Danio rerio: one gene and its partners. Each later gene encodes a partner of the first gene's protein in a complex. Links are inferred from orthologs where the notes say so. Each region holds a gene or a part of one and is shown in the gene's direction. Other genes may lie near its edges. The genes, in order: ptpn11b, pdgfrb and gab1.

Region 1 (10,994 bases):
TGCATACTGTATCGTTTTATATTATGAATCCTTAAGCATAGTGATATATATTCAGTTTTACAACAAAGTGTTTAACTTAAAGTGTGTTTTGCCTTACTTAATTTTTATTACTTAAATGCCACATTTTCATTTTTTAAAGTTACATTTTTTTAATTTTTGCTCTCTCTTCTTATCATATTCAAGCCATTCAATGCCACGAGGATAAATGCTGCAAACATTGAGAACAGGGTACACGAACTAAATAAAGTTGCCGACAACTCCGAGAAACCCAAGCAAGGCTTCTGGGAAGAATTTGAGGTATTTCTGGCCTTGTGCATTTGTCTGCTCATATTTTCTGTTACAGTCATGGGATGTGGTGATTCAGTCCAGGTTTTTGTTTGGGAATAGATTGGATTTTCCGCTGTTTGATATGAGAGTTGTTTATAGAAAGCCTCTCTGCTAGCTGACCTCTTAAACCGCAGTTCCTGTAGGGTGGAAGCTGTCCAGATAAACGGGACATTCCTGTAGGGGGTGCTGACATTCTCATTACACAGCAAAATTTGGATGTATGTGATTTTAAAGGGGGTAGTTCACCCAAAAAATGGAAATTACCTCATCATTTACTCTCCCTCATGTGGTTTTTAAACCTTTGTATGTTTCTGTTGAATATGAAAGAAGATATTCCAAAGAAAGCTGAAAACCAGTAACCATTGACTTCCATAGTTGGAAAACATTTACTATGAAAGTCAATGGGTTCAAGCTAACAGCATTTTTCAGAATATCTTCTTTTGGCAAGCTCACTCTTGTACACCCAAGTTACAGTGAAACCAAAAATGATTCAAGGACATTCTCACATTATCACAGTTTATTCCCTGTAGTTTAGTTTAAACTGTTTTAGAACTGACTAATTGCAATAATCAACTTAACTTTGGCTAAGATAACCATTACATAATGTTATTTTTACCAATCAACAAAAATTATTCAGGATAATGCATTTGTAGTCTGACAATATTTGCACAATTATCAAGTGTTTTTTCCACATTTTGACACAATGCCAGCCTGTAGTCTCTGCTTTCAGTCAGCTTCATGCAAATCTCAACTTCATTATTTTCTGCAGCAGTTTCGTAAGTTCATGTTGGTTTTTAGTCCACCTTATGAACAGTTTTGGGGTATAATATGTCACAGTTTACTTTATTTTAGGAACCTCAATTGTAAATGTTAATTTAACTATAGTTACATGCACCCACTAGTAAAAATAAATATAAAAATATTTATATGTTGCATGAATAATTTCTGGTTTTAATGTATAACTTAATCAAAAGATGTAAAATATAGGTATAACGTGAATATGTATTCACAATATTATCACAATAATAAAGCTTTACAAGCAGACTACTGTGTATTATTATTATTATTATTATTATTATTATTATTATTATTATTATTATTATTATGGTCTTCTTTTTATCATTAAGCAAAGAAAAAACTTTTGCAAAGTTAGGAACACACAGATAAGGAGGGTTACATAACTGAAATCGCATCATTTATTCATTCATTCATTTTCTTGTCGGCTTAGTCCCTTTATTAATCTGGGGTCGCCACAGCGGAATGAACTGCCAACTTATCCAGCACATTTTTATGCAGCGGATGCCCTTCCAGCCATCATACACACACACATTCATACACTATGGACAATTTAGCCTACCTAATTTACCTGTAAGATATAAGACTTACAACAAGCAATAAAATAATTAGACTTTCTTAAAAGAGTTGACATGCATATCAAAGTCTTTCCTGAAAATAAAAAGTAAAGGATTGTGTTTGAAACGTTGCATTTAATGGATGCAAAAAGCTATACAATTATAGTAAGAAGGGTCTAGATACAAAGAGTAACCAAAAAGTAATAATTTGGGGGCTGTATGTAAGTCTGGATATAAGTATTTGTCAACAAAATTGAAAAGTCAAGTGGTGCAGTAGGTAGTGCTGTCGCCTCACATCAAGAAGGTCGCTGGTTCAGCCTCGGCCGGGTCAGCCTCAGCCGGGTCAGTTGGCATTTCTGTATGGCTAATGTGTATGCTAATGTGTATGTATGTGTGCAAAAAAGTGTATGGGTTTCCCAGTAATGGGTTTCAGCTGGAAGGGCATCCACTGTGTAAAACATATACTGGATAAGTTGGCCGTTCATTCCGCTGTGGCAACTGCAGATTAATAAAGGGACTAAGCCAAAAAGAAAATGAATGAATGAATGAATGAATGAATGAATGAATGAATGAATGAATGAATGAATGAATGAATGAAGAATGAATAAATTGAAAAGTCAAGCCAAAACTTTGCAATACATGCACTTGCAAAATGAATTACTTAATGTTTCGACTGAATCTTCGACTGAAGATAAAAAAAGAACTTTTGTGGAAAATACTATTATTAAATAGCAAGTTTGTAATTTACCATTTAGCAATTCTGAATAATTTTAAAAGAGACTTCACCAACTTTATAAGATGAGAAGAATTTATGTGGAAGAAACCAAAACTTTTCCCATTCTACAGTGTGTCACAAATGATGATTTTTTTTTTAATTACACAAGTAAAAAGATATGAGATACCGGATGTCTTTGTTTGACTTGGAATTGAGAAGATTTTGGTCGACAAAAAAAGTTTGTGTTGTCAATATGAAAAATCTAAAGGAGCTTTAGGGCCAGGTATAATAAAGTCAGGCATTTCACTAAAAAAAATAAATACTTTTTAGTTAGGGGGACTAGAAAAGAAAATGTGTCCACAAATTGTTTAAATGAGAAAAGAGCACCACCATCATATATGAGTTGCATGATTTAAAATATATTTTATTTACATTTTACTTCTTTTGCAACTTTTGCAGAGCTGGTTTAAACCTAATTATATCACACACATTTATTGGATGAAACAGTTATTATCCATCAAACACTGTCATCTTTTCATTTATTTATGCTTTTGAATTGCATTATGGGACCTTGATCTTTCCTCCAACAGCATTTTATGTTAAAAAGTTGCTAGATCTCTATGTATTATTTATTATACAATATATTGTTTCAAACTGCTAAAATGTCAATAAAAGTCAATTTGATGAACTGCACAGTTGAATTTTTAATATCAAAGGTTCACGGGCGAAAGATAAAGGTCCCATAATGCAAATTCATAGTCGCAAATAAGCAGAGAACGCTTGTGAATTGCAAAATACAGAATCTGTTAATTAACAGACATTTTATAACTAAACATTAAATCTAAACATGGATCCACATTTCATCCTGACTGTCTTTTATTTTGTCTCCTGTGGTTCTGCAGGTTTTACAGCAACAAGAATGTAAACTCCTTTACCCCAGGAAAGAGGGGCAGAGACCAGAAAATAAAAACAAGAACAGATATAAGAATATACTACCATGTGAGTAACGTGCTGTATTTTTCTGGTTTCTTAATGGGAGAGGCATGTTTCATAATGCAACGGTTAATCTCCAGGGCTCTTGTTCATGCTTTGATCATCATTTTCTGGGTTGCAGTTGACACCACTCGAGTGCAGATCAAGGAAGCGGATCCTGATGTTCCCGGATCCGATTACATCAACGCTAACTATATCCGAGTAAGACCCCGCTTCGCTCGTAATGATTACACGTCAATCTGAATGTCAAGCTTTTGCTGGGTTGTTGAGCTGTGATCAATAAGTTTAGAGATTGCATGTTCTTTTTATCCTTATTGATTTTGTTCTTTTTTCATTTAGAGCGTGAATGAAGAAGGACGTCATATGGATGAAGGTAAAGTGTTCATCGCTACTCAGGGCTGCCTTCAGAACACAGTCCTGGACTTCTGGAAAATGGTTTATCAGGAAAATACACATGTTATTGTCATGACAACCAAGGAGATGGAGAGAGGACGGGTAAGGTCCAGGATGAAAATATTGTACATTCATTCATTCATTCATTCATTCATTCATTCATTCATTCGATCGTTCATTAATACATTTATATTTATATTATATTATATTATATTATATTATATTATATTATATTATATTATATTATATTATATTATATTATATTATTTTATATTATATTATATTATATTATATTATATTATATTATATTATTTTATTTTATTTTTTGTCATATTATGTTATATTGTTTGTCATGGGATACATAGAATATAAGAAAATAAACAATTTGTTATAAAAAAAAATATTTTTTATGCTCTTAATTATATTTCCTTAATTATTTGTGATAATAAAAGTAATTTATATTTTTGGGGGGAGAAATTCATTCAGAATTCATATCAGTTTTAAATACACTGACCATAAAACTGCTAAATGATGACAATCTTGATTCAATTACCCATACAATTATATATTCCAGCCACAATGATTTGGTTTTATTTATTAAACATCTGACGAGTGCAATCCCAGTTGGCATAAAATTATGAAACAGCGTCAGTCTTTGGTCTCTTCAACCTTATGGTATGATTATTAGTCAAATTATTGCAGAAGTATTGGGATTAAAGTTTTGATGTAACCACTATTGAATATTGCACAGCAAAATAGACATTCATATTTTTTAAAGTAACACTATTTTATAAATAATGTTTATCAATTACAGTGTTACGCCAAAAGGTGGTGATAAGTTACTATTAAAAATGCATTTGTCATTGACTTATTTATTCAAGAGAGTCATTCAAAAGGGCTGATTCATCCAGTAATGAAACAAGTGAGGTCTATATAAGCCAGTGATTAAATCAACCTTTCAAACCGATGGGAATTAATTAAATTAACATTGTGTCCAAATCTCTAGTATATTACATGTCATTTTGTTGAAGTCCACCAAAAAAATTAAGTTTCCTCCTTATTTACTCGTACTTAATTGATTATGAACTTTAATGAATTTCTTTTTTTCTGTTAAACACAAAGCAAGATATTATGAAGAATTTTGCAAAAAAGCAACCATTGACATCTATAGTAGGAACAAAAAACACTATGAAAGTCAATTGTTGTGTTTTCCAACATTTTTTATTATAGATTCTCTTGTGTTCATCAGAAAAATGGAGGATGACTAAATAATGGCAAAATTAAAATTTTGGGATCTATTTGGGAACTTTTTAACTTTTCCTTTAATTTGTCAATTCAGAATCGTGGATGAAACATGATTATTATTTTGAACAAAAATGTGATTCTTCTTATATACCAAAAATTTCTAATGCATAATTTGAGAAAATTGAGAATCCACTAATGTTGTATAGCTAAATAGACAACACAGATTTTTTTTTGGGAACTAAACATTGAACTTCTCCCTATAGAATAAATGTGTGCGGTACTGGCCAGACTTGAATTCAACAAAGGAGTTTGGGAAGGTGTGTGTGAAGAACATTGAGGAACACACAGCTCAGGACTACATACGGCGAGAGCTTGAAGTCACACGTCTAGACAGGGTAAGAGCAATGCGATGACAGATGACATGCTGCAGCCAGAGGCAGTTCATAACCTTTGACCTTGTTGTTTACAGTAGCAGCTTGGAGAGAATCTTCTCACTTACTTCAAACCTGTATTACTTTACATTACTAATCTAGGTTGGATGTAGTTTTTCTCATTTTGTAAATTATCATTTGATGTTTCTTTTTTTTTTTTTTTTGTAATTCACTCAGGACTTACTCATTCATATTCATTGAAAGGGGAAGAGAAACCTATTTGTGACCTGTGTACGAATATTTAGACCATAAAACATGTTTTAATAGAAGGTACTGTATATTTTCAAGTTATATTAGAGAACGTTTTTTTAAGGGAAACTTTTAAAAAGATGTCTCCTTTTTCTATTTTACCCTATTTATCATTGGTCAAAATGAAAGAACTCTCATGACTTTTAATCAGTGTGATATCTATATGTTTTTATATAATGCATGTTTGTTTAGAAACAGTTATGATTGTAAATTATAAACTTAATATTCAATTCCAATGTTGACATAGACATACTGCTGATATGGCATAAATAAATAAATAAATAAATACATACATACATATATACATACATATATACATACATACATACATACATACATACATACATACATACATACATACATACATACATGCATACATAAATACTTTTTGTAATTACAGAGAGAGCCTCCCAGGTGTATCTGGCACTATCAGTACCTGAGTTGGCCTGATCACGGTGTTCCAAATGAACCTGGAGGAGTGTTGAGCTTCCTGGAGCAAGTGAACCGAACCCAGAGCGCCATTCCAGAGAGCGGACCCATAGTGGTTCACTGCAGGTACTACACAGCTCACACGTTCTACTTAGATTTATTTAATTATTTTGCTAAATGTGGTCTTAAAGGCACAGTTCTCCCCCCTTCCCCCATAAAAAAATCCAATACTTATTCCCTGTGATGTCCTTCAAATGCTATATGCTATTTATGCTATTAGTTTCTTTTGCCAAACACAAAAAGAGAATTCTAATGAAAAGTCCATTCATTCATTTATTCATTTTCTGAAAACTCCATTCATTCATTTGCCTTAAAAATGTAGCTATTTTAAAAACCCATTAGTTTATTTAAAGGTCATACTCAAATAAACACTAGAATAGATGTTTTTTCTGATGTAATTAAATCTAAATTATGCTTCAAACATTTGATTTTAAAACACTATCAATGACTGAAAACCAAAAAATACAAAAAAAAAATCTTTAGATTCTTATTCACTCTGTCACTTCCGTCATTGGTATTTATTTTCAGCTGTCTGCTGCACTATATGTTCACCTTTGTGGTCGGTCTAGCCGGCGCAATAGCCACATTAGTAATAGCACATACTAGGAAGGTGGGTATCAGGGTTGCCAGGTTTTTGCAATAAAACCCAATGCCCATCCAAAATACCCCAAAACTAGCCTGATGGCCAATCAAAAATATCCCAATATCATAAGTCAAAACTTGCCATCGCCCATTTGTAAAATAAATGTTGTACAGGTACATCACTGTATGGATTATACATGGTTTCTTCTTTGAATATATCTCTATAATAATAATTTTATCAGAAAAATAAATCTCATGTGACTGCCGTGTGCCATCCAGTTCAAATGCATGCAAATGGCAATAACTCCAGAGGAAAGTGAACCACAAACTTAGAATTTAATGAATAAAAGAAAATTTAAATGGACTTTCTTCTGCAGAATACTTTCACAGTTATATTTAAGCAACAATCCTAAACAGTCCTGCCAATCTGCCAACCATAAAAGCAGCCTCTAGTGCCGCTGCACCTCACAAAAGTGTGCACACTCTGTTTCATCATCCTAGCAGTTTCATCATCTGTATCATCAGATGGTTGGATATTTTTCTGCTATACACATTATTCTGTGAAACCTTTGTGTCTTAGCTGCTATCACGTAACATGCCGTATAGGGTAATCACCTGGTTACTGATCTGCTGTGGGAATTTTCCAGGACAATGCAGGTCACAAGAGATATACATTCACTAATATTAGATTACATAAATATTGATTTAAATGAATTGAACTATTCAAGCCTGTTTTACAATGACATTAGATGTCGCTTTCAACAGGTACTGAACCTGCTCTGCTTGGAGTTATACAATGTGGTAAAATATAATGAAGTGACTATAACAGATCATATATGCAGTGACAGTTTCTTTGTTAGGCTAGACAAACTGGATTTAGTGCATATTGAACTTGTATTTCATGTTCGTTCAGGAAGCTTTGAACAGGACGTTTGGTTGGCAGTTGCTGCTGCTTACTTTTAATTCACACTGGTTGCTTTGGTTTGTCCATGCAGTCATCATCAGTGAGGAAAAAATCTCTCTATGAATATTATGGTTGGATATTTTTTCTCCTGTAACCTACACATGACAGTTACACATATGTATTTAAAAACTGAGCTAAATGTATTTATTTTATTTAATTTACACTTGTTGCTTTGCTTTGTCCACACAGTTATCATCAGTGAGGAAAAAAAATCTCTCTATAAATATTATGGTTGGATATTTTGTCTACTGTAACTTACATATGACACACTATATATAAAAACCAAGATAAATGTGGTCATTTTACTGTGGTGTTTTTAAGGAAAGAAAAAATAGGTCACAAAAAATATATAATTTTGGACTGCCAGAAATGCAGGACTGCTGGTCAACCCTAGTGCGGAATATTCCAAGTGTTCTAGGGTAAATTATAGTGCTTGGTGCAAAAACAAATATAAATGAATGACTGTTTGGCTCCTCATTAACCTTTTACAGCCTATGCCATTAATGACTTATATCTGGGTATTTCTAATGCAATCTCACGGAAATTCGTAACTTTTTAATTTAGTGGCTAATTGGTATAAATTTGTACGATCTAATGCGTACAATTTACTACGATTTGCTCATCACCCAATGACGGTTGGGGTTAGGGGTGGGGTTGGGTGCCACGCCTTCTTTTTTAAAATAGTAAATTTTCGTACGACTGAACTCGTACAAATTTGTACGAATTAGCCACTAACCTGACAAAACGTAAGATAATTAAGTTTCCTCGTGAGATCAGGCTGGTATTTCTGCTAAAGTCTTTTCACTTTCTAGTGCCTTATCGTAACGGCAGTAACAATTGCATTCATATCCCAATTAATTTACATAAAAATATAAATATGCATAATTTTTTTCTTTAAATTTAAGACTGTTTCATGAATTATTAAATTTTAACCAAGACTTTATGAATTTATATTAGAGAAAATATATAGTGAAAATGCTTCTGAAACAACTCTGCTTGAGCTAACACTAGCATATTCAGTGGTGTCTTATGAGAGCAGTCCCGTAGAAGACCAGCAGCAACGATTAGAATTAGATAATAAAGTAAATGTTGGGTTGTTTTTCACCTAAACTCATTGTATGTTTCCAGAACACTTAGAAACTTCACCTTGCATGGAATCATAAAAGCTTGATGTTGGTTTCTATACACTCTCGTTATGTACAGTGGATGAGCCAAATCAAAATACATTAAAGAAAAAACACTCATTTTGCATTGTGAAAAAAAAGTGTAACATTAGACATTAGTAAAACACCAAGGTGAAAAAAATGGACTGAAGTTTTCCTTTAACCCTTTATTAATCATGAAACCAGGTAACTTCACTGACATTGATTGGAATATAATCATAATTTTGTTTTAAGTCACAAAAGTAATTTCCCAAACCAAAGTAACTTATCATGTTTTTTCTGAAGAGTTTTTCAATGAGTGCCCTATGAAGGGTTAAAAGAAAAACTACGATAAAGAATTACAGTACTGAAATCCTTATAATGTGTACAGTTCTGTGCATAAATGAGTACGTCCCGCACAAATCTCTCTTTTAATTTCATATACTTTATACTAATATCAGTGATACTTGATATTGATACTTTATACTCATATAGTTAATAATCTCATATTCAATAATATATTATATGTGCAAAAACATTAGACTAGTTAGTACAAAAGTAAAAAAAATGGAACTAATCTAAAAAAGGAAGGTCACAGTCCAAAAATTAGTACACCCAAATTAATATGTTGGGGAAAATGTTAAGCAAATTTTTATTTAAAAAGGAAAAATCAAGAGAAACTTAAAAATATATGTAATGTAGTTTTTGTTTTCTAATTTGTAAATTCTTTTTATTTTATTATTATTATTATTTTATTTGAATTTAAATGTATTATCTTTCTATTCGTGAAGATGTAAGGTGACCCCCCCCCCCCCATTTTTTAACAGGTATAACTGTATAATTAAACTGTTTTGTTTAAATGCAACAAAATTATTAGCTTTATTCACTAAGAAATGGACAAAAATATAAATTTTCAAAGAGGGGTGTACTGAATTTAAAAGCTGTGCTCCACAATGTAAATGTCCCACTGTTGCTGTCATTCTAGTGCAGGGATTGGAAGAACAGGCACAATTATCGTGATTGACATTCTTATCGACATCATAAATAGACAAGGTAAGCATTTCATACAGAATTATCCCAGTGGTGTCTTTTTTGTCTGTCATTGATTACATTTAACACAGCTGAACTGCTTCTCTAAGGGCTGGACTGTGACATTGACATCCCAAAAACGATTCAGAGAGTGCGACAGCAGCGGTCCGGTATGGTTCAGACTGAAGCCCAGTACAAGTTCATCTACATGGCTGTTCAGCAATACATTGATACTGCTCAGAAGAGACTAGAAGAGGAGCAGGTGCTTGAACACTACATTTTCAATCAAAATAATGTGATGGAGATACATATATATATAAATTACATGCTACAGTACAGTCAAAGTCAAACAGAAACACTTTACAATAAGGATGTATTAGCTAGTGTTAGATAATGCATTTGCTAAAATGGTCAAACAATGAACAATACATTTATTGCAGTATTTATTCATCTTTGTTAACATTAGTTTCCCAGTCTTGGGTTGCAGCTGGAAGCCCATCCGCTGCATAAAAAATATGCTGGAATAGTTGGCGCTGGCGGTTCATTCTTGTGTGGAGACCTCTGAAATAGAGACTAAGCAGAAGGAAAATGAATAAATGTATAAACGAATGAATAGATGAATGAATGTTAACATTAGTTGAGGTAACTGTCTATCCTGCCACAGCTGAAATCTACCCACATTTGGCAGGCTGACTGGTGTTAATGTCAAGCCCTAATAACTATTATTAAAAGTTTTTTTGTCAAAATGGAATGATGTTTCTAAACATGCCTCAGGAATGTTGTTTCAGATCTATCAAATTTCCCCCAAACCAGACACAAACACAACCATTCTTATATTTTTATGTGCAGTTTGAGATATTGCCTACATTTTATTTTTGCCTTATGTATTAGGCAGCATCGATCTTATAGTACAATATTTTTCCCATATTCATTTTTTTATGGCTAAAACTGAATGCATTAACATATTTACTACAATGGAATGCTATTTGACAAGCCTTATTTTTATCAAATGAATTTTTAGCTTCATGATTTTGTTCTTGACATTTTCAGAGGAACAAAACGAAGGAGAGGGAATACTCTAAC
Region 2 (11,637 bases), on another chromosome or scaffold:
GTTGTTATTGTCCTTGTATGTTCTGTCTTCTAAAAATGCAGTAAAAATATATACATACAGTTGAAGTCAGAATTATTAGCCCCCCTGAATTATTTGCGCCCCTGTTTATTTTTTTCCCCAATTTCTGTTTAATGGAGGGAAGATTGTTACAGCACATTTCTAAGCATAATAGTTTTAAAAACTTATTTCTAATACCTGATTTATTTTATCTTTGCCATGATGACAGTAAATAATATTTTACTGGATATTTTTCAAGACTTCTATGCAGCTTAAAGTGACATTTAAAGGCTTAACTAGGTTAATTAGGTGAACTACGCAGGTTAGGGTAATTAGGCAAGTTATTGTATAATGATGGTTTGTTCTGTAGACTATCAAAACAAAAAATAGCTTAAAGAGGCTAATAATTTTGTCCCAAAAATGTTTTTAAAAAAATTAATAACTGTTTTTATTCTAGCCGAAGTACAACAAATTAGACTTTTTCCAGAAGAAAAAATATTATCAGACATACTGTGAAAATTTCCTTGCTCTGTTAAAAATAATTTGGGAAATATTTAAAAAAGAAGAAATAAATCAAAACTGACTTCAACTGTATATATTCCCAGTGCACACACTTAAATATGTCAAAACAAACTTGTATTGTGGACGTGATTAATCACGATTATTTCTTTCCCAGCACTAATACTAATTCGATATTTTCATTTCGACATCATGAGCAGAAAAAAAGCCTAAACCAAGGAAAGGAATGTACAATAACAAACTGCTTGTGACAAGCCAGCATTGTAATTCTTTGGCACAGAACTTTTTATTCCTGCACTATTTTAGAGTGTGTAGCCTGTTGTTGTGGCTCCTGTGTGTGTCTGTTCAAGGCCTCTAATGAGTCTCTGTTGATCTGGACGTTTTGTGTTCACTCGCACAATTACAAGGCGAATGCCAACAACCTCTCTCTCTCTCTCTCTCCCTGTAATAAAGAGAAAGGTCTTACTCAGCTGTTGGACGTTGTTATGAATTTGCAAGGCACTCTGCTTGCTGCCTGGAAAAAGAGAGAGAGAGCAGAAAAGCCGGGATTGAAAACAGACCCTCATACTTTGTGTTTAAGTGTATGCGTGAGCTCTCAGCACCCTGCGCCGCTATTATTGACACACCTTCCCTTCACCCCAGACCGCACTTTATTCCATTGCATTTTCCATTTTTCCCCAGTTTGGCAGCGAACGCCGTCTGCACAGAGAGCTCGTTTAGCGCTGAAAAGAACTTTCTCTCCTCGTTTTTGTTTCTTCTTCTTCTTTTCTCCTCTTCAGCTGCATGGGCACTTTCATTGTGAGGGCTGCCAAAATCCATCTCATTTCCCTGCGGCTCGTGTTTTCAGCGAATACAGAAACAGGCGACTGTTGCTGAGGAGTTCTGGCCGGGATTTCATGTTGTTTTGTGTTTCTTCAGGTCCACCAAAACACCCCTGGACGACGGATCTGCACACGGTACTGATATGTTGTTTTCAGGAAAATGTCAATGCTTGCAGGGTGGTTATTTCCTTCTGATTCTTTTAATGAAACTGATACACAAAAAAATGACAACACAACTTTCAGAACGTGCTACTTTGACTCATTTTAATTAGTTAATCAAGTGTCAATATATATATATTTTTTACACTTAGTCTGTGTAATTAAAATTTGCAATGTTTATTTTGCTAGCACACATTGTTATTCTTTAGGTAAACTATGAATTTAAGTTTATCCACTGCAAAAAGGTAGTTTAAGTATCAAATTCATCAAATTCTGAGCATTTGCTTCTGCGTTTGGAGGGGTGGTCCTTCACTGATGATGTCAGTTTGGTGGTTCAGTCACAATATTCCTAGCCACACCCCTCTTACTGTTAGTTTGCTTTGAGGGAATGGTGCACAAAAACAAAGCTCCGCCCCCTACTCAATATTCAGTTTTAGTTTGAAACGCAACAACATATTGAAATGAAAAGTCTGATGATGTCAGTTTGACGCTAAAGCCACAATATTCTTAGCCACGCCCCTCTCACCATTAGTTTGCTATGAGGGAATAGTGCACAAAAACAAAGCTCCGCCCCCTACTCAATATTCAGTTTTAGTTTGAAACGCAACAACATACTGAAATGAAAAGTCTGATGATGTCAGTTTGATGCTAAAGCCACAATATTATTAGCCACCCCATCTTACCATTAGTTTGCTATGAGGGAATAGTGTACAAAAACAAAGCTCCGCCCCTACTCAATATTCAGTTTTAGTTTGAAACGCAACAACATACTGAAATGAAAAGTCTGATGATGTCAGTTTGATGCTAAAGCCACAATATTCTTAGCCACGCCCATCTTACCATAAGTTTGCTATGAGGGAATAGTGCACAAAAACAAAGCTCCGCCCCCTACTCAATATTTAGTTTTAGTTTGAAATACATCAACATACTGAAATGAAAGGTCTGATGATGTCAGTTTGACGCTTAAGCCACAAAATTCTTAGCCACGCCCATCTTACCGTTAGTTTGCTATGAGGGAATCATGCACAAAAACAAAGCTCCGCCCCCTGCTCAATATTCTGTTTTAGTTTGAAACGCATCATCATACTGAAATGTAAAGTCTGATGATGTCAGTTTGACGCTTAAGCCACAATATTCTTAGCCACGCCCATCTTACTGTTAGTTTGCTGTGAGGGAATGATGCACAAAAACAAAGCTCCGCCCCCTACTCAATATTTAGTTTTAGTTTGAAATACATCAACATACTGAAATGAAAAGTCTGATGATGTCAGTTTGATGCTTAACCCACAATATTCTTAGCCACGCCCCTCTCACCATTAGTTTGCTATGAGGGAATAGTGGACAAAAAACAAGCTCCGCCCCCTACTCAATATTCTGTTTTAGTTTGAACAAATCAACATACTGAAATGTAAAGTCTGATGATGTCAGTTTGACGCTTAAGCCACAATATTCTCAGCCACGCCCATCTTACCGTTAGTTTGCTGTGATGGAATGTTGTTCAAAAGAAAGCCCCGCCCCATACTCAATATACAGTTTCAGTTTGAAATACATCAAACTCCTAAAATAAGTCTGATGATAGCAGTTTGATGCTTGATGCACAATATTCTTAGCCACGCCCCTCTTACAAATAGTTTGCTATGAGGAAATGATGTGCAAGAGAAAGCTCATCCCCCCCACTCAATATTCAGTTTCAGTTTGAAATACATCAACATACTGAAATGTAAAGTGATGATGTCAGTCTGATGCTTAAGCCACAATATTCTTAGCCATGCCCCTCTTACAATTAGCTTGCTATGAAGGAGTGTTGCACAAAAGAAAGCACCGCCCCCTACTCAATATTCAGTTTCAGTTTGACACGCATCAACACACTCAAATAAGTCTAATGATGTCAGTTTGACGCTTAAGCCATAATATTTTTAGCCCCACCTCTCTTACCGTTAGTTTGCTGTGAGGGAATGTTGTGCAAAAGAAAGCCCCGCCCCCTACTCAATATTCAGTTTCAGTTTTTAATACATCAGCATACTAAAATGAAAAGTCTTATGATGTCAATTTGACTTTCATAGTACTTGTTTTTTTCCTACTTTAGAGGTCAACGGTTACTGGTTTTGATCATTCTTCAAAATATCTACTTCACTATTCAACACAAAGAAAAATCTAAAATTCACTTGAGTAATGGATGAGTAAATGGGGAGTACATTTTCATTTTAGGGTGAACTATCCCTTTAAGGTTTAGCCTGTGCTATACTTTTGCAGTTACGGATGTTGGTGTTACTAGTGAGTGAGTTTTCAGCATTTTTCAAAATATCTTCCTTGGTGTTCAACAGAAGAAAGAAACTTAAAAAGCTTTTTAACCACTTGAGGGTGAGAAAATAGTGAGTAAATGTTCATTTCTGGGTGAGCTAACTAGTGAAGCTTATCTCTTTTCAAACCTTTACACATTTCAAACCTGCAATAAACACAAAAGAAGATATTTTGAAAAATGTTGGAAACCTGTAACTATTGGCTTTCACAGTAATTGGTTTTCCAACTATGGATGTCAATGGTAACCGGTTTTCAGCATTCTTCTACAAAAGGAAGAAAATTATGAAAGTTTATAATCATTTGAGGGTGAGAAAATAATGAGTAAATGTTCATTTTTGTGAACTAACTAGTGAAACTTTACTCATTTCAAATCTTTACTCATTTCAAACCTGCTATTAACAAAAGAGGATAGTTTGAAAAATGTTGCAAACCTGTAACCATTGACTTCCACTGCATTTTGTTTTCCTATAAGTTTCTTCTGCTAAACACAAAAGAAGATATTTTGAAAAAATGTTGCAAACCTGTGACCATTGGCTTCAAAAGTATTTGGTTTTTCTACAGTAGAAGTCAATGGTTACCGGTTATCATCATTGCTAAAAATATCTACTTGCAACACACTAAAGAAAATCAAAAATCCACCTGAGGCTGAGTAAATAGTGAGGTTTTCTTCATTTTGGGGTGACCTATCCTTAAAAGTTTAGTCTGTGATATACTTTCGAGGGTAGGGATGTTGTTTTTACTAGTGAGTGAGTTTTAACATTCTTCAAAATATCTTCTTTTGTGTTCAAAAGAAACTTATAAAGCTTTATAGCCACTCGAGGGTAAGAAAATAATGAGTAAATGTTCATTTTTTGGTGAACTAACTAATGAAAACTTTTACTCATTCCAAACCTGCTATAAACACAAAAGAAGATAGTTTAAAAAATGTTGGAAACCTGTAACTATTAACTTCCATACTATTTTTTTCAACAATGGAAGTCATTTGTTACCGGTTTTCAGCATTCTTCAACAAAAGAGAGAAAATCATAAAAGTTTATAATCATTTGAGGATTAGAAAATAATGAGTAAATGTTTATTTTTGTGAACTAACTAGTGAAACTTTACTCATTTCAAACTTTTACTCATTTCCAACCTGCTATAAACAAAAGAGGATAGTTTGAAAAATGTTGCAAACCTGTAACCATTGACTTCCAAAGCATTTTGTTTTCCTATAAGTTTCTCCTGCTAAACACTAAAGAAGATAGTTTGAAAAATGTTGGAAGCCTGTAACCATTGACTTCCAAAGCATTTTGTTTTCCTATAAGTTTCTTCTGCTCAAAACAAAAGACGATAGTTTGAAAAATGTTGCAAACCTGTAACCATTGACTTCCAAAGCTTTTTTTTCCCTATAAGTTTCTTCTGCTAAACACAAAAGAAGATAGTTTGAAAAATGTTGCAAACCTGTAACCATTGACTTCCATAGTATTTGTTTTTTTCAACTGTAAAAGTCAATGGTTACCGGTTTTTAGCATTCTTCAAAGTATCTTCTTTAGTCTTCAACACAATACAGAAAATCAAATGAGGGAGAGTAAATAGTGAGTAAATTGTTTTGGTGAACTATCCCTTTAAGCTTTAGTCTGTGCTATACCTTTGCAGGCAGGGATGTTGGGTTTACTAGCCAGTGAGTGAACCCTGCTGTGGTCATTTGACTAAACAAACAGATCTGCTGGCCAGCCTCCTCTCCGTCTGGGACCCCGGAGACTGCAGCTTTAGCTCCATCCCTCCCTCTCGCAGCTGTACGAGAGACCACTACTAAACGCCAGAGAATTGGACACTGTTGCTCACACGTACAGAGACGCAGACGAGGAGAGAAGTTAGCAAGAAGAGGCTTTTCCTAGACATGCTTTAAATCCAAACGTCAAGGTAAGAGATGGGACTTTACTCTCCTACAGTTTTTGAACCGAGAGTTTTACTCCATGATGTTTTTAGTTTATTTTCTCAGTGAACGAGTTCCAGGTTTAAACAGTGAAAGCAATGATGTGAAATTTAGAGGAGTTAGATTGAACTTGTCGTAACTCTTTGGGTGTTTGTACAGTGTTCAGCATATTTGAGCTCACCCCTCACACATCTATCTTTTAACTGTATATAGACCATTTTCATGGGTGTAAACAAACACAGTGGTCCCAACGTATTTCCTTTTGTACATTTTTAATTCAGCTTCCGAGAGTCCAAAAAGAGCCACATATTGGTAACTAATGTTATGATAGCTGTTTTAACATTATGTTATGATGGAATTGCCTCTTGTTACAGTTATTAAATGTTCATGGACCAATGACATGACCACATTGAAATGGTCTATAGCAGGGGTGTCCAAAGTTGAGCTTGTCCTGCTGACTTTAGCTCCAACTTGCTTCAACAAACCTGCCTGAAAGTTTCTAGTTGTGCAATAATATTGTGCAATATTGTGCAGAAGAGACTTAATTCTTTCATATCACATTTTACCTGTTTTTATGCTTTGTTTTGTTTTTACGCATTTTTATTATTTGTTTTTATTTTTATTTTACTTGTTTCTTTTATTCTTGTTTATGTAAAGCACTTTGAATTGCCATTGTGTATGAAATGTGCTATATAAATAAACTTGCCTTGCCTTGCCTAGTATACCTAGTAAGAGCTTGGTTAGCTGGTTCGGGTGTGTTTGATTAGGGTTGGAGCTAAACTGTCCAGGACATTGGCCCTTTAGGACTGAGTGTGGACACCCCTGGTCTGTAGGATGCTTTAGAGTAGTACAGTATGTGTGTTTTTTTAAGACACTTCTATACAGCTTAAAGTGACATTTAAAGGCTTAACTAGATTAATAAGGTTAACTAGGGTAATTAGGCAAGTTATTGTATAATGATGGTTTGTTCTGTAGACTATAGGGAAAAATAGCTTAAAGAGGCTAATAATTTTGACCTTAAAATGGTTCATAAAAAATTTTAAACTTCTCTTATTCTAGCCGAAATAAAACAAATAGGACTTTCTCCGGAAGAAAAAATATTATCAGACATACTGTGTAAATTTCCTTGCTCTGTTAAACTTCATTTGGGAAATATTTACAAAAGAAAAAAATTAAAGGGGGCTAATAATTCTGACTTCATCTGTTTATATATAAACTTAGTCCCTTTATTAATCCGGGGTCGCCACAGCAGAGTGAACCGCCAACTTATCCAGCAAGTTTTTACACAGCGGATGCCCTTCCAGCCGCAACCCATCTCTGGGAATATATATACAATGAAAAACTTTATTCAAAGATGACTCTTTGGATTTACTCAAATGTTTTACGTTAAGTGGTTGTAAACAATTTATTTGGGCTGAATTTAAACAAACAAATTTAGTTGAACATTATTAAACTTAATTTGTTTAAATTCAGCACAAATAAATTATTTGCAACAGTTCTGCATGCAACACTTTTTTTGTATAAATACTATACAAACTATACAAGTATCTTATGTAAAACAGAAAAAATATTGTGCAAAAGAGATATTTTAAGGTTGAAAAAGTAAGCAGTTTGACATGACTGTGGTAAATTCACAGGTAAACCTTATTGAGTTCTTGTAAGATAGTTTATGTGGTGATAATGGAGAAAATAGTGTTTCTACAGGTAGTTTGTTTGTTGTGACACTGAGAAATGCACAATGTTTTTTATAGAGATACAGAGTGATTGAATGTACATTTATTGTCTAAATTCACTGAGTAATGGAGGGTATACAATTTTTAATAGGGGTGTATTCATTTTGGCTGTGTAATGTGTGTTTCATCCAGATGTTGGCTCAGATGTTTAGATTTTTTTAAAGAAAGATTTATCCTGTCTTAAAGAATTTGAAGCATTTTTTTGTTCAGCTTTTGTTTGTTTAGCATCGATCTCTTCTGTTTATTTGTGTGTTAAACGTGTTGCATTTGACCGAGAATGTGCCGAGAGCAAACAGATCTGCGCCTTACAGTCAGTTTGAACACCTTTACACACCCTCGTCTTCACTGCAGAGGCTTTACAGATGTGTGTTTTCTTGTGAGGCATTGTAACGTGCTGTTGTGGTGGTTTGTTTGAGCTCTTCTGTTCTCATTGAAACTCTCGCTGCCTTTTCTTTAGTAGTTGTGTTTGTGTCGTAAAACACAACATTTAAAGAATTCCAGAATCTATATAATCTATAAAATCTAAATAACTAACAAACCAGACTGGTAATCTAACTGTACAATCTATACATATACTTTAGATACTTAACTATACACGTAATCTAAGACAAACTGTACAAGCACTTAATGCAAAACAGAATAATATTGTGCAGAAGGGATAGTTTAAGGTTGAAAAAGTAAGCAGTGCGACATGATTTGCGGTAAATTCACATGTAAACCTTATTGAGTGCTTGTAGGATAGAGTTTAAGTGGTGGAATTGGATAAAAGAGTGTTTCCACAGGTGGTTTGTCGAACCCACTCACCAGTGTGAGGGACATTCAGAAATGCGCAATGTTTTTATAGAGATACAGAGTGATTGTATGTACATTTATTGTCTATATTTAATGAGAAATCGATCAAATGTAAACTTTATTAGGGGTGTATTCAGTTTGGCTGTGTACTGTTTATTTCATCCAGATGTTGCCTGCGATGTTTAGATTTTTTTAAACAAAGATTTATCCCATCTTAAAGAATTTGAAGCATTTTTTGTTCAGCTTTTGTTGGTGAAGCATTGATCTCTGCTGTTTATTTGTGTGTTAAACGTGTTGCATTTGATCGAGAATGTGCCGAGAGCAAACAGATCTGCGCCTTACAGTCAGTGTTTGAACACCTTTAACACTCTCGTCAACACTGGAGAGGCTTTACAGATGTGTGTTTTCTTGTGAGGCATTGTAACGTGCTGTTGTGGTGGTTTGTTTGAGCTCTTCTGTTCTCATTGAAACTCTCGCTGCCTTTTCTCTAGTAGTTGTGTTTGTGTCATAAAAACACAACATTTAAAGAATTCCAGAATCTATATAATCCATTAAATCTAAATAACTAACATACCAGACTGGTAATCTAACTATACAAAATATACATATACTTTAGATACTTAACTATACACGTAATCTAAGACAAACTATACAAGCACTTAATGCAAAACAGAATAATATTGTGCAGAAGGGATAGTTTAAGGTTGAAAAAGTAAGCAGTGCGACATGATTTGCGGTAAATTCACATGTAAACCTTATTGAGTGCTTGTAGGATAGAGTTTAAGTGGTGGAATTGGATAAAAGAGTGTTTCCACAGGTGGTTTGTCGAACCCACTCACCAGTGTGAGGGACATTCAGAAATGCGCAATGTTTTTATAGAGATACAGAGTGATTGTATGTACATTTATGGTCTATATTTAATGAGAAATCGATTAAATGTAAACTTTAATAGGGGTGTATTCAGTTTGGCTGTGTAATGTGTATTTCATCCAGATGTTGCCTGCGATGTTTAGTTTTTTTTAAAGAAAGATTTATCCCATCTTAAAGAATTTGAAGCATTTTTTGTTCAGCTTTTGTTGGTGAAGCATTGATCTCTGCTGTTTATTTGTGTGTTAAATGTGTTGCATTTGACCGAGAATGTGCCGAGAGCAAACAGATCTGCGCCTTACAGTCAGTGTTTGAACACCTTTAACACTCTCGTCAACACTGCAGAGGCTTTACAGATGTGTGTTTTCTTGTGAGGCATTGTAACGTGCTGTTGTGGTGGTTTGTTTGAGCTCTTCTGCTGTCATTGAAACTCTCGCTGCCTTTTCTCTAGTAGTTGTGTTTGTGTCGTAAAACACAGCATTTAAAGAATTCCAGAATCTATATAATCTATTAAATCTAAATAACTAACATACCAGACTGGTAATCTAACTATACATATACTATAAATACTTATTTATAAATAAGACTAACTATACAAGCAATTTATGCAAAACAGAATAATATTGTGCAGAGGAGATATTTTAAGGTTGAATAAGTAAGCAGTGCAACAGGATTTGTAGTAAATTTACTGGTAAACCTCACTGAGTGCTTGTAAGGTAAAGTTTAAGTGGTGGAATTGGAGAAAAGAGTGTTTCGACAGATGGTTTGTCAACCCCACTCACCAGTGCGAGGGACATTCAGAAATGCGCAATATTTTTATAGAGATACAGAGTGATTTTGTTTGAGCTCTTCTGCTGTCATTGAAACTCTCGCTGGCTTTTCTCTAGTAGTTGTGTGTGTGTTTGTGTCGTAAAACGCAGCATTTAAAGGCTGAGAGAATTCCAGAATCTGGTTGTTTATATTCATGATTTTATTATATATTTTTAAAATCTATTTTAAGGTCAATATTATTAGTCAGCTTAAACAATACTGTTTATGATTGTCTACAGAACAAACCACTGTTATACAATGGCTTGCCTAATTACCCTAATTACCCTACTTAAGACTTTAAATTTCACTTTAAGCTGAATACTAGTATTTTGAAAAATATCTAGTCTAATATTATGTGCTGTCATCATGGCAAAGATAAAATAATAGTTATTAGAAATGAGTTATTAAAACTATTATGATTAGAAATGTCATGAAACAAAATCTCTCTGGTAAACAGAAATTTTTGGGGGAAAAAAGCAGGGGGGCTAATAATTCTGACTTCAACTGTATATAATCAATGAAGAAGTTAATTGAAAAGCTCAAGACAGCTTTAAGAAACCAAACGCTGTGTGTTTGGTGATTCCCGTGGGCTCTCAGGGGTCTCAGCCGGACCCTGTTCGCGAGCTCCGCTCATCCGCTGCTAATGGGGAGCAGATTTTTCCCGGGACTGGTATGCGAACCAGATGAGGGGCTCAGGAAACAGCTGGTGACGCAGTGCTCGGTCCGTCCCTCTATCACAGATCCAGCACACACTCACGTCTTACTCACACGCCTGACTAATAACAGAGCGTTCCTGAAGAACAGCACAGAAACTCCTCACCACACGCACAACAATGAAGCACATGAGTAACGGGACTTTTAGAGGACGCCGTGCCATGAAGGTTCTGCACCACAGCGTTACACTGAAAAACATGATTCATTGGATTTACTCAACTGTTTTAGGGTGAGTGGTTGCAAATGATTTATACGGGCTGAAATCAAACAAACAAGTTAAATTTAGTAATGTTCAACACTGTTTGTTTAAATTCAGCCCATATAAATAGTTTGCAACCACTTACCTTAAAATCTTTTGTTAAATTCGTTCATTCATTTTCCTTCAACTTGGTCCCTTTATTCATCAGGGGTCGCCACAGCGGAATGAACCACCAACTAGCATATGTTTTACAAAGAACACCTTTCTGGCTGCAACCCAATACTGGGAAACATCCATACACACTTATTCACACACACACACACACACACACACACACACACACACACACACACACACACTACGGACTATTTAGTATATTCAATTCTCCTATAGCGCATGTGTTTGGACTGTGGGGGAAACCGGAGCACCCGGAGGAAACCCATGGAGAGAACATGCAAACTCCACACAGAAATGCCAACTGGTCCATCCGAGACTCGAATCAACAACCTTCTTGCTGTGAGACGACAGTGCTAACCACTAAGCCAGCTTTGGTAAATCCAATGAATCATTTTTTGTTTCGGTGTAGCAGCATCAGCTGTTGAACATCTGTTTGATCTACAGACCAGACCCAGAGAAATATTTACAATAATAGTCCTGCGCTTCAGATTAATGTCTGTGCCGGTGAAGCACAGCCAACTCTGACTTCTACATATGGCTGATGGAAATTCATTCATTCATTTTCTTTTCGACTTAGTCCTATTATTAATCTGGGGTCGCCACAGTGGAATGAACCGCCAACATATCCTGCAT
Region 3 (10,994 bases), on another chromosome or scaffold:
ATTATTATTATTAATGAATAAGACGTTATTTTTTAATTACTTATATAATTTTTTTTTTCGAACCAAATAAAATTATTTGATATTTGATTTTTTTTGTGTACTTTTTTGTGCGTGCAGTACATTTCACAGCCACACCTTGTATTTTCACAATTTAATTTTCACAATTTATAGTTCTTTTTTTCCAAGTGCTCTTAGCTTACCAGAAGTCATCCTTTAAAGACACTTTCACAATAGTAATTTGTTTTACACAGGAACGGTTTCAGTAAAAGCTTTTGAATAAGCAGTGTAGCCCTTAGTTTGATCTAATCTTAAATGTGTCTCGAAGCTCGTGATCTCATAAAGTGTGAAGCTTTTATGTTAACCTCTCTAACCCCACTGTTCTTTCTACAGACTCTGCAAAGGTCTCTCATCATGTTAATGTGCCAGGCGGTCTGGTCGTGGATATGGCCCCTAGTGGAGGGCTGGGCGGAGCTTTAGGGGCGTCTGCATTAGCCAACCTGCCTCCTCCCTACCAGCCCGTTAGCATCAGACAGCTGGGATCATCCTCCAGTCTAGATGAGCCTCAGGACTACCTTTGGCTGCTCAACTGTGAGAGCAAAAAACCTGAGCCTAACAGGTAAATCCCAAGCTATGTCTCCATACACTTATTTTTGTGCACATTTTGGATTATTGCATTAACAAATGCTTGATTAAAATGCCAAGATGCATATAAACTTTGATGATGCGCATAAAAAAATAATACGATAAGCTATGAAAACAAATTCGATAAATAATACGATTAATACAATAAACGTTTAATTCAATAAAAAATGCACATAAACTACGATGGAAACACTTTTACAGAATACATTCATTTTAAAAAAGTGATGTGATTTTGTTTTAAGACTTCATGTGATGATGAGAATGCATGTGATGGGATGCATTAATGGACAACTGAGCATGCTGACAACATTGTAAAACATCTGACATGTTGTTTTGGTCATTCTAGTATGCTGTAACTATTTCAGTATTATTGTTATAGTATTAGTTGCCTCCAGAACTGTCAAGATCGTCGTGTTGGCATTGTCCTCTCAAGCACAAGCGATTTATTCTGTACCTCAGCAAATTCCGTTGTTCTTTTTGATATTTGGCACCAGTTTATCAGGACGTGACTATTTTGTTCTCTTTGACTCATGGGATGGAAGTGCTTCTTTAATCTCAACTCTTTTTATGTAATATTCTAATCTTGCGCATAGTTTTATTTTGCATCTTTGGATGGAAACATAGCTACAGATGTGTATACAGACATCCTTTGGCATAACGGTTCACTTTTCGCAGCCTCGCAGTTTCACCATTTTTTTGTGCAATTCGACATGCTATTTTTCTACATTGTATTGTGTTCTGCGCCCTGATAGTGTTCTGTGCCCTGATTGGCTGTAGAAAGTTTTCAATCAATTTCCTTAATGCTGTGTTTTCTGTACAGTACAGAATGCGTTCAGCTTGCCAAATTTACATACATCTTCGATCGCTAGCAATGTTACTCTAAAGTGCTTTACTGTAAAAGGCAGAGGAAGATGCTAACCATTCCACAAAAAGTAGAACTTCTGGACATGCTAAAGGAAGGTAGAAGTTACACTGCTGTAGGGTGTCATTAGAGAAAATAAATAAATGATCAATCAAATATTTGGTTACATTTTATAACACTGGACTTATTTTTCTACGAAGGTTTGAACTTTGTGAGTGTTTAAACAAGAGCTAAAAGTGTGAAAAGGTTAATGCCTGTCTGAGAAAAGTGTATGAAGTATGTTATGAGAAGTTTTACAGCCTTAAAACATCTATAATAATTGTAAAAATAAAGCAGACTATTTCAAGGATTTTGCCTATTGTGGGTTATTTTTAGAACATAACTCCCTCGAATAAAGAGGGACCCATTTATTGGCTATTTTAAAAGATGGCTCATCCATCAACATCTCACGAGCAAATGTAACTTTTGTGCATATTGTTAAAAAAAATGGTCAACTCGAAAAAGTTCATGCAATTTCGTTCTTATGAATATATATGATTTTTAACAGGAGGCATGGGCACAAAAACCCACCACTACCCCTCTCTGGGAGATGGGAAAATCGTACTAAAATATATGAATGAGATTAAGGCTGCACGATATCGGAAAAAATTGACATTGCGATATTTGTTTTCCCTGCGATATATATTGCGATATTTTAAAAATTCAGAATCGGGAGTTTTGAACTGCTCAAAAATTAAATAATCATTAATTCTATAATAATTTGGGTAATTTTTTAAGCATTTTCATAGAATATAAAAATTAATAAGTAAAAACACTTTCTTTTGGGTTGTTTATAAAAAATATGACTTAACTGTCAATTCAGATAAATCAAGGATCTAATATGTTATGATATTAATACTAAATGTTGCTTTTACTGTGATAAAGGTAAGCTCATTTGGTGAATGTAAAGATGACACTTTATTATCACATTTAGGAATTAACACGAGTGACAAAATAAGTTATTTAACTTTTTAACAATTACAAACTTTTTTATTACAACAATTAAAAAACAGAAGGAAATATCTCGTCACAAAATTGTAAAAATATAAAAACAGCTAAACAATAACCCCCTGAGTGGTTTAAAAAAAAATAAACATGTTATAAAACAATTGTGGATAAGATAAACTTGTTTTAATAATTACCAACAATTAACTTTACAATAAATAAAATAATATGGCAGTTATATATATATATTATTGTTATTATTATTTTTTTTGCTTTGCATCGCTCCTCCTGCAATGTGACTATTGCGGATGCGCACATCGCGATTTTGATGCTGAAGCGATGTATCGTGCAGCCCTAAATGAGATCATACAAATTAGCCACTAAATTAGTTGCCATTGGAATGCATTGTTTTATCCAACAGTTTGTTATATAGGATTGTTCCCTTTTTGAGTCTGTTGTATTTATATCAGTGTATATCAGTATCAGCGTTATGTAATGTAAAAAACCGCCCACCTCTACTGAAAGCTTTGAGTACGTTCAGGTATGATGAGTAAAGATCTGGAAATAAGGGGCTCATTGTGTGTATTTGTGTGTGGTGTAGTCTAGTTGCTCCTCTTTGTCTAGGGGAGGAGGAGCAGGAATACCTGCTTTTGGAGGAGTGTGAGAGCCGGAGCGCTGCTCATGACAGTCAGTGAGTGAAGAGCATCAGTGTGAAAATTCAGTACTAAACCGCACACACATTTGGCCAATAGTCTGACACTGTTGTTTTTACCTGAATGTGTGCATACCTTTTTTCAGTAACTTCCTAAAATAAATACTTTACTTAGTTTTTGTTTTGCATTGTGTATCTAAAACTGTGAATGCACAGTTTTAATTGGGATTTGTGTGAATTGTGACATGCATGGTTGGGTTTGACACTAACCTGGTTGTAACACTTTATAACGATTAGTTAAATGCCCTGAAATACTATCAGCAATGTTATTTTTTTTCCCTGGATGTTCATGAAGAGTTGAAACTAACTTGGTGTACCTTTAAAGTGAATTAAATTATACTGAGTTATTATGTAAATACAGTACATTCGGAAAGTATTCGTAGTGCTTCTCTATTTACACAATTTATTGTGTTACAGCCTTATTCCAAAATAAATTAAATTAATTTATTTCCTCAAAATTCTACATACAATACCCCAAAATGACAATGTGAAAAAAAGATTTTTTGAAATTGTTGCAAATTTAATTAAAATTTAAAGACCTGAAGAATCACATGTACATAAGTATTCACAGTCTTTGCTCAGTACTTTGTTGATGCACCTTTGGCAGCAATTACAGCCTCAAGTCTTTTTGAATATGATGCCACAAGCTTGGCACACCTGTCTTTAGGGATTTTTGCCCATTCCTCTATGCAGTACCTCTCAAGCTCTATCAGGTTGGATGGGAAGCGACAGTGTACTGTACAGCCATTTTCAGATCTCTCCAGAGATGTTCAATTGGATTTAATTTTGCGCTCTGGCTGGGCCACTCAAGGACATTCACAAAGTTGTCATGAAGCCACTCCATTTTTAATTTGGCGGTGTGCTTTGGGTCATTGTCTTGCTGTAAGATGAACCGATTCCCTAGTCTGAGGTCAAGACCACTCAGAAGCAAGTTTTCATTCAGGATGTCTCGGTACATTGCTGCACGCATCTTTCCCTCTATCCTGACTAGTCTTCCAGTACCTGCAGCTGAAAAACATCCCCACAGCATGATGCCACCACCACCATGCTTAACTGCAGGGATGGTATTAGCCTGATGATGAGCGGTGCCTGGTTTTCTCCAAACGTAACACCTGGCATTCACGCCAAAGAGTTCAAATTTAGTCTCCTTACACCAGAGAATTTTGTTTCTTATGGTCTGGGAGTCCTTTAGATGCCTTTTGGCAAATTCCAGGTGGGGAGTGGCTTCCATCTTTTTTCACTTTGTCATTATGGGGTATTGTGTGTAGAATTTTGAGGAAATAAATGAATTTAACCCATTTTGGAATGAGACTGTAACAAAAAAATGTGGAAAAAGCAAAGCGCTATGTATACTTGCCGGATGCACTGTATGTGTCACTCATCTCTCCATAACAAAATAACTGCAAATGACAGTAATAAGAACATTAAAAAAAGCATCTGATCATATTGTTGTGGATTTGTCACTTTAGTCAACTAAAGACACTTTAAGAATATTTATGTAGCACTTTAAACAGAAGATTACTGTAAAGCATGCATCTGGACAGATTTTATCATGACAATGCAGTGTTAATATTGCTTTCATTTAGAATTACACTTCAGTTTCTTCTGTAAAGTGACTGTTCTCTGTATTTTTTTAGATGTATCACTTAACTTGTATGGGCTTAAAAGTAAAGAAATTGGAACAGATTTCCAAATCATAGAAGACAGAGCCCTGGAGCACAATAATAGTTTGAAGATGTTTACCAACTAAAGCTAAATTTATGTTTTTTCTTTTGTTTTTGTTTTTTCAAACCATTTAATTCTTCAGTTTCACCTAAAGTATACTGGACTCCAGAGCCTTAATTGTCGCCATCTGTGGTCAATATTGTGTATTGATTGTTATTTATATTTGACCATCATCCCAGACAGCCAATCTCACAGTGTAGATACTTTATTTCTCTCATGACACACTTGTTTTGTTCTAATGTCATAGCTGTCAATGATTTTCAAATAATCTATTTATTGATTTAATGTGCATTCAGTAGTTTTTCTTTTCTAGCATTAGTATTACTTTGGTATAATAGTAAGGTTTAGTGGCTGCATGAATAAATAAAGGAACGTGAATTACTCAATCTTGGGTATTGACAAGTTTTTAATCTTTCCAGGCTTTGTTTTACTTGGTTTAAGTCCTTTTCTGGATATTATAGGTACTGATTTCCTTTTTTTAAAGTTAATAAGTAATTTTTCACTTTTTGCGACAAAACTACACTGTTACAATTGCATCTACAACAGGAAGTGTGTCAGTTCTCTCTGAGGATTAGAGAAACACATTGTTTCATCAAGGCAATACTTATCATTTCATCATGGCAATTAAAACACATTATAGTTTTAAATTAGTACTAAACAATTGAATGCATCTGTAATGAACAATTATTGCAAAATAAACCACTTCAGCAATCAATTACCACACACTAATGACATACTGAGTGTATATTAACTTTTAAGTGCCAGTTAATTATTAAATAATAAACTTTCTATATTTTTGTATTTAAGACTAATTTGTAATGCAAAAAAGCATGATGACATGACTAGTTTTAGAACATGAACATTACAGTGTATTTTATACAGTTTAATTGCTCTTCATTTGCATTATTAAATACATTTTGCATTGAAAAGTTAACTGACAATCTGCATCTCATACTTTGGTTTCTTTGCAGGGCTCATGGCGACTGCTCCAAGTCTACCTCCTCTGAACCTGACTGTAATGACAACCTTCCTTCCCACTACACACCCACCTCCTCCACCTCCAAAAACGCCCCGGTCAATGGTTTCTTTTCCACCCAACATCCCACTGGGCTCTACGATTCTCCTCCTTTGCGCGGGCAGTCATTGTCGGCCGACTCACAGGGCCTGTACCACCTGCCCCGAAGTTACTCTCAGGACACTGTGCTGCTGCCGAAGTCGGCGACCTCCCCTCCCATTCCTGACGGTGAACCTGGTGAACTCTATGTCTTTAACACACCTGGTCGGAAACCCTCATTAGAGGCCCATTTGCGGAACTTGTCAGTTAGCTATGATATTCCACCTACACCTGGCAGCAATTCCACCTACCAGGTTCCCCGAACAGCAGGAGTGGAGGCTGTTTCAGGGTCCACAGAGGTAATTCCACCACCACGTCCACCAAAGCCTTCAGTGAGTGGGGGATCAGTCCCCCCTGAGCGATCGCCTACAGACACTTATGTGGTACCGCGGTCAGTGTCTGAGACTGATACGAATTACTGTGTTCCGACAAGTGCAGGAGGCAACAAAGCACTCAGAAGCAACACCATTGGTACGGTGGATTCTTCACGTCTGCGTAAAGGTAAGAAAATATTATGTATTTCAGTCATGTGTGCTATTTTAACCTTCATTTTTTTTAAGCATAAGAGCAGTTAGCTTAACGTTTAGTTATTAAGACAGGTAAGTTTCACAATGGGTGTCACACCAAGCCAAAGTCAAAGAATAAAATAAACGTATAAAATTAAGTAATTATTCTCTCTCATGTTGGTCGAATTCTCATTTGACATTTTGTTTATCTTCGAAACACACTTTAAAGGGCACCTATGATGAATATCAACTTTTGTAAGCTTAGACAGAGCTGTGTGCAGGTATAATGTGTCCACAGTCATATTGGGGTGATATAAAGACAATAAGTCTCTTTTTTTTTTTTAAATATTCTGACGTTAAGATAGGATCCAAATCCCTCCCATTTTGAGGCCCACCGCAATGTGATGTAGGAGTACGGTTTTCCCTCCCCACCAAATAGATTGACAGCCGCATATTAACATATCTCCGCTATACGCATATAATTATATTAACAAGACAGGTCTTGCGCAAAGCAACTGGTAAAAGATCTGTTCAGCTCTCTGTGATCATCTGTACCTCAAGAGTGAGTTTTACAAGTTTGAAACGTTTTTAAAACGGTGCATGTTTGTAATAAAGAAAACACAGTAAAATTGCTGTAATTCATCACCACAGCAGCATAGTGTCAGTCTGATTATAAAAGAAGATGCTTCAATCCTATTTTGTGGACTTAACTCAGGTTTATTTTATACATCATATCATTTTATACATTTTTATGGATGTCCATACAGCAGTGCATATTAACGTCTATCCTGTCATATTTGCTGTGCAAAACAGTGCAAAGTTAAACATGTTAGCATGTGTGCATGCTTGCGCCATTGTGTGACTTACTGTTCCAGAAAATCTTTAATTAACTCCACAACAAATGCATCAAATAACCATAAGTCCTTACTGTCATATTTCCCATTCTTGTCTGTCACTGTGCTGTTTATCTGACATGAGTTGCAGCAGGTGAAGGCTACATGCAGAGCTATACAGAAAGATCTCTATGGCTCTGAGGTGCATGCGGGAACGGTGGGCGGGGAGAACTAGCTCATTTGCATTAAATGCACAGGCAACAAAAACAACTACAGTGACCTAAAAGCTCAAATTTTCCAGATTCAGAAAGGTAGAATAAATAAACTGATCTGCAGTTTAATCTAAAACTTTACAGACAGTACAAAAAAAGTACAAAATACTTATTAGATATTCAATCTTGAAAAAAAGGGGTAAAATAGGTGCTCTTTAAGATATTGTTGATGAGCTCCCTCATCCTCTATAGACAGAAATGGTCCAGAGAGAGTCAAAATCCAGTAAAAAAAGGAAACCCAAACATTGTCAACTACATGACATGCAAGCACATATATTACCTATAGTACATTTTTTAAATGAAAAACATCGGCCAACAAAGGTATATTTAGATTTGTTTTGTTTTTTGTGAAACAAAAGTGTTTTTGGAGCTTGGTATGATTACAGTTGAGCCACTAAATGGACATGAAAATATTTTGACTGTTTTTGGTCCTTTTTATGAACTTTGAACATCTTAGTAATGTTGTTGTCTATGCATGAGGAAGCTCTTGAATTAAATAAAAAAAAATCTTTATTTGTGTTATGAAAATGAATAAAGGATTCAGGGCATGAGATGACATGATGGTAAACAATTAAAAACAGAACTCAAATATTTGGCTGAACTACCCCTTAAAGAATTTTGTGCATTGATTGCATCTGGGCAAAATGGCATTCTGTAAACACATTTCAAAGACATGTGTTATGCCCGTACATGTAAGGAATTGATTGTCTTTATCAGCAGGTATTAGTAATCAGTATTCCTCATCTGAAAAGAGAAACCAAAAGGAGAATTGCATAAATGCAAATGGTGAACAAAGCAGCACTTGCTTATGGTTTTTAATATCAATTATGTTGGTCACTCTCTTCATTACAAACACCATGAAATAATGAAAATATTTGCATGTTGGAATGCTCAGGTATGATGACACAACACAAGAACAGCATACTGTCTGTGGAATTTTCATTACTGTCATTTTAATTCTCGTAAACTGAATAGCTAATCTGAGTGATTTGCCTCGCTGATGGCCCTGAGGCTTATTCAGCATGATGAATCGGCAAACTGTTGCAGATGTGAAATCAACTAGAGCAAACATATGGAAAACACTGAAAAAATACAGTTCCCAGCAATGGCCATCAGTTTGTTGTGTCATTACCCCAATAGTTTGAACACAACATTTTTTGTCAAATAAGCTTTATTGAAGACACAGATTGAAAAAGAATAGGATTCTCTGTTTACTTATTTTGTCGAAGAACAAAACATTTGCTGGTTCCAGTTTTAAAACTGGAGGGATTTGCAGATGGCGTCCTTGCAATCTTGGGAAGAATGGTATTCAGTGCTGGTAGTCTGCTGCATGTCAGGTAGTGTCACTTTGATTAAGAAGCAATGACGCACTAAACTGATTGACAGTAAGGACATTTGCAGTGTTACAAAAGTATTATAAGAAGATGTATCACAAAGCCTACAACAACTATTGTTAAGCAAGCTTCTGTTTTCAATATTGATCATACAAAGACTAACCTTAAACATCTGAGTTCAAACAAATTACATTCATTTCTATAGCACTTTATACAAGGGATGGACTGGAAAAAAGGCTGATAAAAGTTATTAATAATAATATTTAATTTTTGTGGGACATATTCAATGCATCAAGCAGGTAGCAGAATGATGTGGTAGAGAGCTGGTGTAGTTCTGTAAAATAAATTAAATGATTCTAAAGAGTTATGAATACTAAGGTCTGCTCTGTATCTATTTTTTTCTGATTGACAATTCTATCATCAAGCTGTTTGTGGTGAAATCCTGTAGTCGCGAGGGGGTCCCTCTAGTGTTGTGTGATGGTATTGTGAGAGTTTGAGAGATTGTTTACATGCACTCCCTTCCTCACATTTCTGAAGGATCATGTGACGTGACATGCTTGGAGTAATCACATCTGAACATTCAATCAGAGCAGTAACAGAGTTAAAAATATAATAACACATTAAATATTATCTTTTTGCATTTCTTTTCTCCACAGATTACGGATCTCAAGATTGCTATGATATACCCCGGCCCTTCCCTTCAGAAAAAAGTTGCTCGTTTGATTTTAATGAAAGTTTCAACAACTATTTTGTAAGTTTTCTATCTTATTAAGCTTTATCTTTATACAGTGCTCTACATAATTGAGTACACCCCATTTTGAAAATGAATACTTGTATCCATTTCTTAGTGAATATAAGCAACATATTTTGGTGCATTTAAACAAAACAGATTTATTAAACAGATGTATTTATTACAATAATATTTCAGTCACCAAACATTTAGAAATTAAAAGATAATACAATTAAATTCAAGCAAAATATTGCAAAAAAAAAAAAAAATTACAACCTACAAAATTTCAACTAATTTTTTTCAATTTTTTCGCTTCTATTGATTTCTCCTCTTTTTCTGAATTTGTATTTAATATTTTTCTATATCATATAAATTTGGGTGAACTTGTTTTTGGACCATTTTGGTAATTTATTTTGTTAGATAAGCTCCAGATTATGCTTCAGTACTGACTAATATAATGTATATGCACAAATATAATATAGCTTCCTATTAAAAATATGAGTTTAAAAGATAGATTTCTGAGGGGTGTACTTGTATATGCTGAGCACTGAATATCCCAGTGCTCATTTTTACCCTTTCTTTCAAGTGTCTCAAATATTTCTAACCTGTGTCTGTTTTTGTATGCATGTAGAAAAATAAAGGCATGGTGCCAGTAGGAGGTGTTTCTACAGAGGAAATGGATGAAAACTATGTTCCCATGAGCGTCCACTCTTTGTCACATCAGCGCTCCGGCAGCCTATCAGAACCTATACAGGAGCCCAACTACGTCCCCATGACACCAGGCACAGTGGAGTTCTCTTCCCTTGGAAAACAGGTGCCCCCTCCAGCCCACATGGGCTTCAGGTCCAGTCCCAAGACACCACCCCGTAGACCGATTCCTATATCTGAATGCCAACCTCCACCCATAGACCGCAACCTCAAACCTGACCGTAAAGGTGAGCCCTGAGGTTTGTTTTTATCTTTTCTGTTAAGAGAAATTTGTGTGCTTGCATCACTTCAGCGCAGCAACTTAACAAGTACTAATTCCATTGCTTTCATTACAACCTTTCCTACTAACAGGTGCCGGCCCATGCTTATAAAACCGCATCAAAAACTGCTGATCAGATCCCAAAACTCAGATCTTTAGCGAACTAGTCCACAGCACGGTTTCAGTGGCCTTTGCCTTTTAATCGTTAGCATGTGACCTCACAAATGAAAGAAGCTTTTGTCCACAGATTCAGAGCTCTGGGTATGAGGGAGCCTGTCTGTGCCGTTAGCCTGGAGCGGTCACCTCTGTCCCC

What was found.
Region 2: the proteins of ptpn11b (region 1) and pdgfrb are in contact, whole or in part, in a crystal structure (PDB 1AYA), measured with the Mus musculus proteins. The link is inferred for Danio rerio from reciprocal best matches to the Homo sapiens genes PTPN11 and PDGFRB. Residues at the interface, in NP_001103462.1 of Mus musculus: Gly13, Val14, Glu17, Arg32, Pro33, Ser34, Lys35, Ser36, Thr42, Thr52, His53, Ile54, Lys55, Leu65, Gly68, Gln87, Leu88, Lys89, Glu90, Lys91, Gly93, Ile96; in NP_032835.2 of Mus musculus: Ser1005, Val1006, Leu1007, Tyr1008, Thr1009, Ala1010, Val1011, Gln1012, Pro1013.
Region 3: the proteins of ptpn11b (region 1) and gab1 are in contact, whole or in part, in a crystal structure (PDB 4QSY), measured with the Homo sapiens proteins. The link is inferred for Danio rerio from reciprocal best matches to the Homo sapiens genes PTPN11 and GAB1. Residues at the interface, in NP_002825.3 of Homo sapiens: Gly13, Val14, Glu17, Arg32, Pro33, Ser34, Lys35, Ser36, Thr42, Arg47, Thr52, His53, Ile54, Lys55, Leu65, Gly67, Gly68, Tyr81, Gln87, Leu88, Lys89, Glu90, Lys91, Ile96; in NP_002030.2 of Homo sapiens: Lys623, Val625, Glu626, Tyr627, Leu628, Asp629, Leu630, Asp631, Leu632, Asp633.

The regions. Positions count from the first base shown.
Region 1 is NC_133198.1:26,917,767-26,928,760, forward strand, and holds part of ptpn11b (tyrosine-protein phosphatase non-receptor type 11b), read left to right. Parts: intron 1-183; coding exon 184-297; intron 298-3,296; coding exon 3,297-3,393; intron 3,394-3,508; coding exon 3,509-3,588; intron 3,589-3,726; coding exon 3,727-3,882; intron 3,883-5,288; coding exon 5,289-5,420; intron 5,421-6,105; coding exon 6,106-6,260; intron 6,261-9,867; coding exon 9,868-9,935; intron 9,936-10,021; coding exon 10,022-10,173; intron 10,174-10,961; coding exon 10,962-10,994. UniProt on the Homo sapiens protein: Acts downstream of various receptor and cytoplasmic protein tyrosine kinases to participate in the signal transduction from the cell surface to the nucleus. Positively regulates MAPK signal transduction pathway. Dephosphorylates GAB1, ARHGAP35 and EGFR.
Region 2 is NC_133189.1:3,755,073-3,766,709, reverse strand, and holds the start of pdgfrb (platelet-derived growth factor receptor beta), read left to right. Parts: upstream 1-5,615; 5' UTR 5,616-5,699; intron 5,700-11,637. UniProt on the Homo sapiens protein: Tyrosine-protein kinase that acts as a cell-surface receptor for homodimeric PDGFB and PDGFD and for heterodimers formed by PDGFA and PDGFB, and plays an essential role in the regulation of embryonic development, cell proliferation, survival, differentiation, chemotaxis and migration.
Region 3 is NC_133176.1:38,714,086-38,725,079, forward strand, and holds part of gab1 (GRB2-associated-binding protein 1), read left to right. Parts: intron 1-390; coding exon 391-616; intron 617-3,089; coding exon of another isoform or gene 3,090-3,179; intron 3,180-5,896; coding exon 5,897-6,540; intron 6,541-9,640; coding exon 9,641-9,735; intron 9,736-10,345; coding exon 10,346-10,649; intron 10,650-10,994. UniProt on the Homo sapiens protein: Adapter protein that plays a role in intracellular signaling cascades triggered by activated receptor-type kinases. Plays a role in FGFR1 signaling. Probably involved in signaling by the epidermal growth factor receptor (EGFR) and the insulin receptor (INSR).